Arabidopsis thaliana: one gene and its partner. The protein of the gene in region 2 interacts with the protein of the main gene of each other region in a pairwise test. Each region holds a gene or a part of one and is shown on either strand. Other genes may lie near its edges.

What was found.
Region 1: the proteins of GRF5 (region 2) and AN3 interact in binary tests that used the Arabidopsis thaliana proteins (3 or more experiments, as listed by UniProt).

What each region holds. Positions count from the first base shown.
Region 1 is NC_003076.8:10,646,882-10,651,968, forward strand, and holds AN3 (SSXT family protein), read right to left. Parts: upstream 3,182-5,087; 5' UTR 2,740-3,181; coding exon 2,659-2,739; exon of another isoform or gene 2,507-2,658; intron 2,495-2,506; exon of another isoform or gene 1,661-2,494; coding exon 1,584-1,660; intron 1,505-1,583; coding exon 1,420-1,504; intron 1,340-1,419; coding exon 950-1,339; 3' UTR 586-949; downstream 1-585. UniProt on the Arabidopsis thaliana protein: Transcription coactivator that plays a role in the regulation of cell expansion in leaf and cotyledons tissues.
Region 2 is NC_003074.8:4,606,301-4,611,109, reverse strand, and holds GRF5 (growth-regulating factor 5), read right to left. Parts: upstream 3,035-4,809; 5' UTR 2,585-3,034; coding exon 2,386-2,584; intron 2,107-2,385; coding exon 1,575-2,106; intron 1,497-1,574; coding exon 1,042-1,496; intron 958-1,041; coding exon 950-957; 3' UTR 613-949; downstream 1-612. UniProt on the Arabidopsis thaliana protein: Transcription activator that plays a role in the regulation of cell expansion in leaf and cotyledons tissues.

The DNA of each region.
Region 1 (5,087 bases), on a different chromosome or scaffold from region 2:
AGAAGAAGATATGACAAATCTATCTAGTTTTCGAAATAGCGCACTACCAGTTAGACAAAAATGAAGTCTAGTAGAGCAGGCATGAAGCCAACATGTCAAATACATACTTGGGGCCTATGGTGGTGCGGTCTAAACATTTAACTAGTGTTTGTGACATATTGTTTCAAGGCTTATAGTTTTGCCAAAGGGAAGGAAGTAATAGAATAACTGAAGACTTCTCTTGGCTTGTGATTGAGTTGTAAAAAGCAGGGGCTGGGCTTGGCCTCCTAGGGGAATCCAGACACTAGAAAAACAATCGTCGATGGAACTCTCAACTAAGGGAAATCCACACTCAATACTACTTGAAGAATCTAGGACGAAGCAAAGGGACCAAAAGACACATTTTTGAAACCCTCTTTTCTTCACGAGACTTTATCTTAAATGGACCCGAATATGGTCTTTGGTTTGAGTGCAGCTTCGGGTGGCTATGGTCCGGTCTTCAGCAGTATGGGACCTTGCGAGGACCACTAAGGCTGGTCATATGAGTCTTGGACTGAACCGGTTGGACTTTATCAACTATAAAATAAAATTATGTATAACAGCCAGAAAAAAAAAACAATAATATAGCCTACATAACGATTTAGAATCCAAATAGGTAACATCAATGATCTACAAAACTTCAGTCCTGGTTAAAGCAAAAGAGTCTAACTCAGAGAAATAACATATTAAGATTACGACACAACTTGGAGCCAGCAGATTTACATGGTACACTACCACGAAAGAGGTTCACTGTTTTAGGGAACAAACATAGAGAGAATAACAAAACTAAAAAGAAGTAAATAAAGAGTTCTTTGCTTCTTCAACAAGCAACTAAAACCAAAACACACTAACTTCAAGACTCCTATTATTACTACTACTTCTTCTGCTGCTGCTGCTGCTTCATCATTAAGATTCCTTGTGCCACACTCTTTCAATTCCCATCATCTGATGATTTCAAGTAAAGGGTTTCTCCACCATCCCCTGAACTTCCTCCTCTGCCTTCACCGCCACCACCACTTCCCATTTCCGGCTTCCCACGGCCAAAATCATGAAACCCACCAGCCTCTCCCTGAAGGATATGGAGACCACTGCTTCCTCCTCCTCCGCTGCTCGAGCTCATTCCAAGCTGGCTATGGTGCAATTGCTGATGCTGAAGCGTCGCGTAAGGCTGCTGCTGCTGCTGTTGCTGAGCATACAACATTGAAGATCGAGCCGCCATTAGAGACTGCTGAGTCATCTGTTGCTGTTGAGTCGCTTGTTGCTGCTGCAAATAGTGTGACCCTCCTTCTCCCTGAATCATCCCACCACCAGCAGATCCATACTAATAACCAAACAAAACAAATCACTTTCTCAATTGATCATACAACAAAATTTGGAATACTTCACTGTATAAACAATCACCTGGCTATGCACACTTGGTGGCTGAGGCTGAGAATCTGCTATTGCAGCTAGGTACATTAGGTTGCGTTGAAGCCTTGCTTGATTCCTATAACCATTTTAATCATCATTTCTTGTTACTCAACAGAACACAAGTGAAATCATAAAGGAGATATGTTGTCTCTTACTCGGCGCATTCGCTAAGCTTTCCAGAGTTTTGAGACTCAACAATCTTCAGAATCAACGATTTGTTTTCGTCCAAGTACTACAATCAAACATTTTCATTAATCATTACTAATGCTACAAACAAAAAATTTGCATACTATTTTGTTTTTGTTGTAATAAAGACATAGAAAATCTCAAAAGGAGACCCCAGTAACTTAAATTCCGACTTATCTCAAAAGACAATAATGTTGAAATATCACAAAAGTGTAACGAAAGATTTTCTTCGAAAAGATTTTGAGGACCACACAAAAAAAAAACTGAGATAAGGACCAGATGTTGTTTCGGACCACAAAGTATATCTGGTCATGTAAGCAATAAAAGAAACACTTGGACTGGAAAATACACATAGATCTACTTATAATGATAACAAATCTAAACAGGACCACCCACAATATTCACATAAATGGCTTTGTGGTTTTTGCCATCAATGAAACTTCCAGAACCCGAAAACCAAGACAAGAAGAAAAAACGAGATATGTGAAACAAATCTTCAGTTCCCAAGATTTGTCTGTTTTGAACACGTTATTTTTCATTACATGTTTCAAGAACTCAAAACACAACTGGACCCTAAACATTCATTTTCATTGAAAGAAAGAATCTTTCTTAACTTTGTCTGGTTTTAGACATTTAATTAGCATCAAAGTTAACTGATAATACACCAAATCTATAAGGAAAAGAAAAAAAGTTGAAAGAATCATCTTAGTGACCAAAGCATCTCTACCAACCAAATTTATCAAACATAAACACACATGTATTAAAACTAATTTCTCTATGAAAAAAAAAGACATGGAAACAAGAATAACAAGAACTCTTTTACCAAACAAAAAAGAACCAATGAAAAAAAATCATCTATGTTATGAGAACAGAAGAAAAGGGTTTCACATACTTTTTTATATAATATAAAGAAAAAGTTATAAGGTACTTGCAAGAGAGATTTCTTCACTTTCCTTTATGAATTCAAAGAAACATATAATAAAGAAAAAAGAAAGAGATAATATAATAGAAGAAGAAGGAGAAGGAGGAGAAGGAGAAGAGAACCTGTTGGATATGATCAGAGGTAACATTGCTGGGGTAGTAACCAGCCATCATGGGCTGCATCTGCATCAGGTGCTGTTGCATTTCTTTTGCTATTTTATATAAAACCTGATAATTCCTTCTTATTTATTTATATATTTTATATATATAAGTTTTTATAGAGACAACCCCCACCACAAAACCCAGAGGAAAAAGAGAAGTCTCACCAAGTGAGAGAGAGAGATATTAACTTTTGTATCTGTCTCTCTCTCTTTCCTCTATGCTTCTGTATATAGAAAACTCTTAACTATTGAAGATGTGTATCTCTGTGTGTGTGTTATCTCGCTTTCTCTCCTCCACAAAAGTTGTTTTGCGTTAAAAGACTGAGAGAGACAGTGAAGTCTCTTAAATAGAAAGAGAGAGAGAGAAGAGAAGAGAGTGTTTTTCTCTTTTTCTTGGGTTTTGGGGTTTGGTTTTGTTGGTTTCTTTCTGTCTCATCCTATCTCTGTCTCTGCGAAGAAGAGGAGGTCACGTGACGAGTCATACTTTATTATAGAGACGTGAGACCTTTACATATATACTACTACTTATCAATATGTACACATTGTTGATTAAATTATTACTTTGAAGTTTGAACCCTTCGTATATAGAGACGTAACTATATACCAAATAATACTGTTTACTCCTTCGTATGTATATACGGTGTATTTACTTGTATATATATGTAATTATGTATATTAAAATCTCTTACAACTTTTGTATAATATTTTCTACATTTATAGATTCATTTCGGGATTTTATAATAAAGTAATGCAAAGTAGGATTTATTGTTTTCTAGATTGTTTTGGTAATTTATTGTTTTCTAGTTTTCTAGTTTTCTTTTACTATATCAAAGAATATTTTTGTCGTCTTATTTTGTTTTGGTAATTAATATATAAAAAAAAGATGTCTTTAGTTTTTCGAAAAATAAGATTCATGTATTTACATTTTAATATAAAAAAATGTTCTACATAGGAGTTTTTAACCTAGTGGATTGAATTTGTATTTTTTTAATAATTTATTATATTTAGTTTTACACAACATTTTTTTTACAATGGTTTAATTTTTTATCATGAGAGGTCACATCTAGATGCGATTCTTCACATTTAAAATAAAATGGATTAATGAAAAAATTAGATTAAGAAGTAGCTATGTGAGATAATTTTCTTTGTAGATGTTTGATTGTGTTGATCAAAAGAGTCTCTTCTCTCTTATACCTTAAAATCATATTTATAGGATTTAATCTCAACCAAATTACTGAATTATGTTGTGACTTAGTCTTCTTATGCGGATTAGATTTGGCATAACTAGTTCCCTAGAACATGTTATCAAAACAAGTGTGTTTGGTTTGTTAGCTTAATGATGTTTTTCATTTTGTTTTAAAAGTAGCGCATGACTCGTCTCGTCTCATCACTAACCATCTTTATGTGTTTTGGCAAAATGCCAAAATGTAAACACATTTCTTACGCTTACCAATAGTTATCTTCTTTTTTTTTTTGGTCTTTTTTTTTTATCGAATCACGTAACACATTATAATTGACTGATATCTTAATAGATGAAATTTATCCTCAACAATGATCAATACATGTTTCTTTTTTTTTACATATGTTAATACTAACTCGATCACTTGTCTCGACCAATAAGACGAGTTATCGACCATCAAAACACTGCCCTAACTTGGTTTGAATGTTTAATATTGATGATTCTCAACCAAAGGGTCTCTAAAGTTTTTGAAATGCTTTTGTAAAGAAAATAATAATAATTAGTTTGGAGTTATTTGATAAGTCTCATTAACTTTTTGTTCGAATTCTTGAAGTACGTTTCGATGGTCGGTAATTTAAAAAGAAAAAGATTCAACAGCTATATTATCTTTGCGTGGTTATACTTAATTCCACGTTAAACCCTCTTGTAGATGTGGTTAAATATTAATTAACACTTTATTCGTTGGTACCAAAAATGGATCCGAGATATTCCTTCTGCATATATGAACCACGGAGGCTCAACTTTTAATGTTTGTTTGTTTAACTATAGTATTATGTATGAACATTAAAGTAATCTGTAAGGATAAATGAATTGTTTTCTTTTCCCGATTAATTATGTCTTATAGACAATAACCAAACCAATAGTGTTTCTATGCCATCTAAAAGCAAACCAAAAACACTAGGAACAAAACTAAAAATACCATTTCTTCTTTTTTATCAGACCAATATAGTTGTTTGCATACTGTAAATTGAGATTATGAAGTTAAAGGTAGGATTCTGAAACGCTTACAAATGATCAATTCATTTTGGTTAATACCTAAAAGAAATATTAAATTTTTACGACATTAATTTTATACTACCTTATTTTCTATATAACAGCCATAAATTTTATAGTTAATGTGAGGTTGATGTTGAATCCTCTTACATAGAGAA
Region 2 (4,809 bases):
TCACAGAATCTTCGGTGGCAACATGCTTTTAAAAATTCTCAGCATACATATTTTATACGTATGAGATTTATATTAAAAATATAAGATTAATGTTGGTAATGACCAATGATTCCAAGTACTCATACGCACGTAAAAGGATTAATGGATCAAGAGTCATGACGTTTTGTCTTTTAACTCTCCCATCTTTCCTTTTGCTAAAGGAGCACATACATGGAAGGAAGCATACACCAAAAGTTGTATATGATTGTTTGTTTTCTATAAACGACAACAAAATTTATGGTTCTTCTTCTTATAATAATAAGTTTAATGTTTTGCCATATTATGTAGAGTTTTGACCATACTCTCGTTTCGTAAATGCGTGATTCAAGACTTGGGCCTATGTAACGTCATTTCATAACCTGCGGATAATCTCAACATACAGCCATTTAGATAGTAATTGATTATTTGTGTCTGTGTTTACATATAAAACTTTAACTAATTGCGGATAATCGTATCCTTTGCCCTACAGAATTTGCAACCTAGTCTACTATTATTCCTCTGCATGAATGTTTTACATTTAAAGTAAGTTAATCAGAACATGGCCTTAGAAAAAATCTAGATTATATGTGTGAAACTATATAGATGCTTGCATCCTAAGAAACAAATAAATTATATATAACGATACCCCTCACAAATCAAGTCATGTTTTCTTTTGTTGCTATCAGCGACAGTAAAATAAAATCTGATTTCTTGAGAAAGCAAGAGAACACATACAGATATATCTGTCGGATCACTTTTTCTTGTTGGACCTAACACACATAGAAAAAGATAGAAAAAATACATATAGGATTCTGCAAACAGTGTCTTGTCTCATTGTTCCACGGAAATAGATGTGAAATGTGACTCTTCTTCAACATTTCACAGTTGTGTGTGTTGGTGCAGATCCATCATTGATGCCAGCTCTACTTAATTAGCTACCTGAGAAAATAAATTTAAACTAATTTTGAAACTATCAATAATTAGCATAGATCATAAGATTACGTCTGCAGATTAATTAATTACCAGTGTCGAGTCTTGAGTGGGAAGAAAGGTCAAGCCAAGAATCTGAACTGTTCTTGTTCTGTGCCCAGTCCTCACCAAAGAAGTGATGTAGAGACTTCTTGGACGACTCTGATGAATCTTTCTCATCTTCTTCTTGATTTTGATCTTGTCTTGATGAGTTTGCAAGGACACTTCTTGTAGGTTTGTTGAACATGTCGGCGCCCAAAACAAAACACTGTTGCTGTCTATGATCATGATCATGATGAAGATGTTGAGATGATGATGAGGATGAGTATGTGTGATGATGATCAATCTTATTATGATCAGTACTACAGTGGTGGTACGGATCATTCATCACTGTTGCTAACGGTTGTTGGTGATGATGGTATGGAGAATCTTGAAAGCTTCTAGATGCTTCTGGAAAGAACGTTCTCTCCCCAACTCCTCCAACTCTCTCCCCAATCCCTTGAAAGTACCTGAATTCAAAAAACAATCCATCAATAAAAGTTTCCATAAAAGATCAACAAGAGAAACTAAAGATAAGATCACAGAACCTGAAGTCTTTGTGGTCAGTAGCAGAGGCTAAGACATTGAACTGAGAAGTAGAATTAGTATTTTGATGAAGTGACAAAGCGGAAGCATGATGAAGAGTTTGTTGTTGTTGTTTGGGTGAAGTAGAAGGATAAGGATAATCAAGAGAATGGCTGTTGAAATAACCTCTAGTGTTACTACTACTTCCACCAAGCCCAAACCTATTACTGTTACTGTAGGCATCCATTGAAGAAGAAGAAGCAGAATAAGTAGTAGAAGAGGAATTAGAGGAAGAAGAAGAAGACAAGGTGGGACTTGGGTTGTTGTTGTTGGTGAATGAGAGAGATGGTGATGTTAAAGGAGTTGTTGTTGTCTGATTCTGATCAAGAGATTTTCTGGCACGGTTTCTTCCTCTGTGCATGTGTTTTTCACAGTACTTCGAATCTGGGTAAGCTTCTCTTGAGCATCTCCATTTCTTACCATCTGTTCTTCTGCATCTTCCTGGCTCTGGATCTGGTTTTCTCCCAAATCCCATCTGGTAACACCCCCATCCAACTGCATCATTTAATTAAAACGAAACCCTAAAATTAATCATGATGTAAAACCCTAATTAGGACCTTAAGTTCCAAAATCATTAAAAGTAAGACTGTGGAAACTGAGTTTTTAAAAGTGGTCGTTGAAAAAAAAAGCTAGAGACTTTAACCAGAAACCAAATCACTCTAAAACACATAAAGCTGAAAACTTTGGGGGCATGAGAATCAACAAAAGATTGAAACTTTATGCAAGAAAAGAAAACATGAAAGAAAGAAAATTAAGTATAGGTATAGGGCTTACGGGATTGGTGAGGAAGGAGTCTAGAGACCAAGGAAGTGTCCAAGCTTCTTCTAATGGAGAAGATGAGCTCAGGTGGGACAGGAACACCAGAGACCATGTACTTGTAGATTAGGGCTTGATGTTCCAGTTCTTCCCATTGTGTTGGTGTAAATGGAGGCCTTCCTATTGTTCTCCCGCTACTTCCACTTAGACTCATCATCTTATTCTCTAGCTTTCTTCAGATAGTTTATATATGTAGCAAATTCAGAAGCATAAAAGAAGGAAGAGAAAGAGCTTTCTTGATGGATTCAGAGATTAGGGCTCCTGAGTTTCGGACAGAGACAGACAAAGATGACCACTTTCTCTGTCACTCTTTTCCTCTGGTTTGATATCTCTCTCTCTCTCTCTCTCTCTCTCTCTCTCTCTCTCTCTCTTTCTAAGCATATATTCCTCAGATGCAAATTGCATGAACACTAGCTAGGTTCTTTCTCTACACGAGGCCACTCCCTCTTTTATATATATACCCTACTTTTTTGTATTGAGGAAAGATAAAAGATTATTACACAATAGAGATTACTATACAATTAGTCACACTCTAGTAGGGTTTATTTTGGGGGGAATGGTAATCAGAAAGTTAATAAATCAAAGAGTGATCACAAAGAAGAGAGAGATATTTAGACAGTGTTGAAAAGAAAAAAGAATCACATCAGGACAAGAGCTTTTAAGGAGTTTTGCCATGTAGTGTAAAATCAAAACAACATTAAAATATCCAATATTGTAAAATGTAAAAATAGATAAAATGTATGTAAGGGGGATGAAGAAGAAGAGTGTGGTCCTATAAAGACTGGCAAATCTGAAGAGACTCAGGCCCAGTGTTCCTGTTGCTTCTTCTGCAGCACTTGATGCTCCTGTCTCTCTGACTACTCTTTCCTCTCTTCTCAATCCTTTCTTCATCTTATTTTTCAAAATTTAAGTATTTTTTGAAATTATGTGTATTTTTTTCTATAAAAGTGCATTGATTTTTGGGAATCTTTTTTATTTATTTTTTCCTTTGAGCTGACGCCTTTTTAATTTCAGCTGTATCCCAACACTTGATGGCCTAAAAATGAGTGCCATTTACCTTTTTATTGAGCTCATTTTTTTATTTATTACATTTAGTGAGCTCTGTTATTACTGTCTAAAAGACAGAGGAAAATCAGATAGATGCAAGAAGAACAGATAGATGTTAAAAAAAAGAAAAAAAAAAAGAAGAAGGAAATACGAGTATTTATGAAAAGAATTCGGAATAAGCTTCTTGTATCATCACTGCACGAATCTCTGACTCGGGAGAAGAAACCAAACTTATATGCTGACTTGAAAAAGAGTAAGATTATTTTACAGTTTCTGACGACAATACAAAAGAGAGATTTTTACTAAATTTTCACATTTTCTTCTTAACATCTTTTACATAAGTTGGCAAAATGGTAAATAAGAAAGAAAGAAAAGGGTGTTTAGATGAGAAATAGAGAGCAGGGGAGAGACCATTGGATAAAGAAGGGGACTAGGTTTGTTTGGTTGCAAGTGAAGTGAAAGTACTTTTGTCCTTTTTATATAAAAAATGTTAGATATTTTGTCGTTTTTATTATGTATTTTTTTCGGCATTGGTTTTTACTGAAGAAAAGTTTTCGGAATAAAAAAGAAGAGGAAGACATGTGAAGAATCAGAAATATACAGAGAGGGTTGGGTTCATTAAGTGCATAGAAAAAAAAAAGAGTAAGACTGTTCACTCCTCTGTTTGTTTCTCTGTCTCTTTTCACATGCTCTGTCCTTTTCTCTCCTTTTTTTGAAGCCCCCTAGATCTTTCTCCTTACACACCTACTACTACTATCTACCATTCTTTTACATGCACATCTATAAAGGTTTTATATCTTATGTACATATACATGATACATACATATACATGAGCTGATGAGCATCGACTTTAGGGTTTGAATGATTTTACATAGTGGATGAAACAAACTAGTACAATTGATAACATTGCGTAATAGTAGAATGATGGGATATAGTAAAAAAGTTGATAATTATCGCGATTTCTACAAATTTTTGTAATTAGCAAATACTAATTCAATCATTTGGCGATTACAAATTATATCCTTTCTTCAGTACAAAATAATACATATGTAATTGGTTAATATATAGCTAGTGAAGATCAACCCAAGAAAATAAAGATGGTTACCTTGCGATGACCACGTACTTAAACAAAATGGTGTTCACGCGATAAACCATCATCCTAAATACTTTTGATTATATACATCACCTTCTAAATTGGTTCGAAAATGATATGCATGCGTATATGGAGATATGTAAGATGGTACCTACACATATTAGTTAGAGCTCCACTCTTGTTGGTTGGTCAAAGATATATATGATCATAATCATGGTGATTAAGCTATGAAGAAGAAGGTG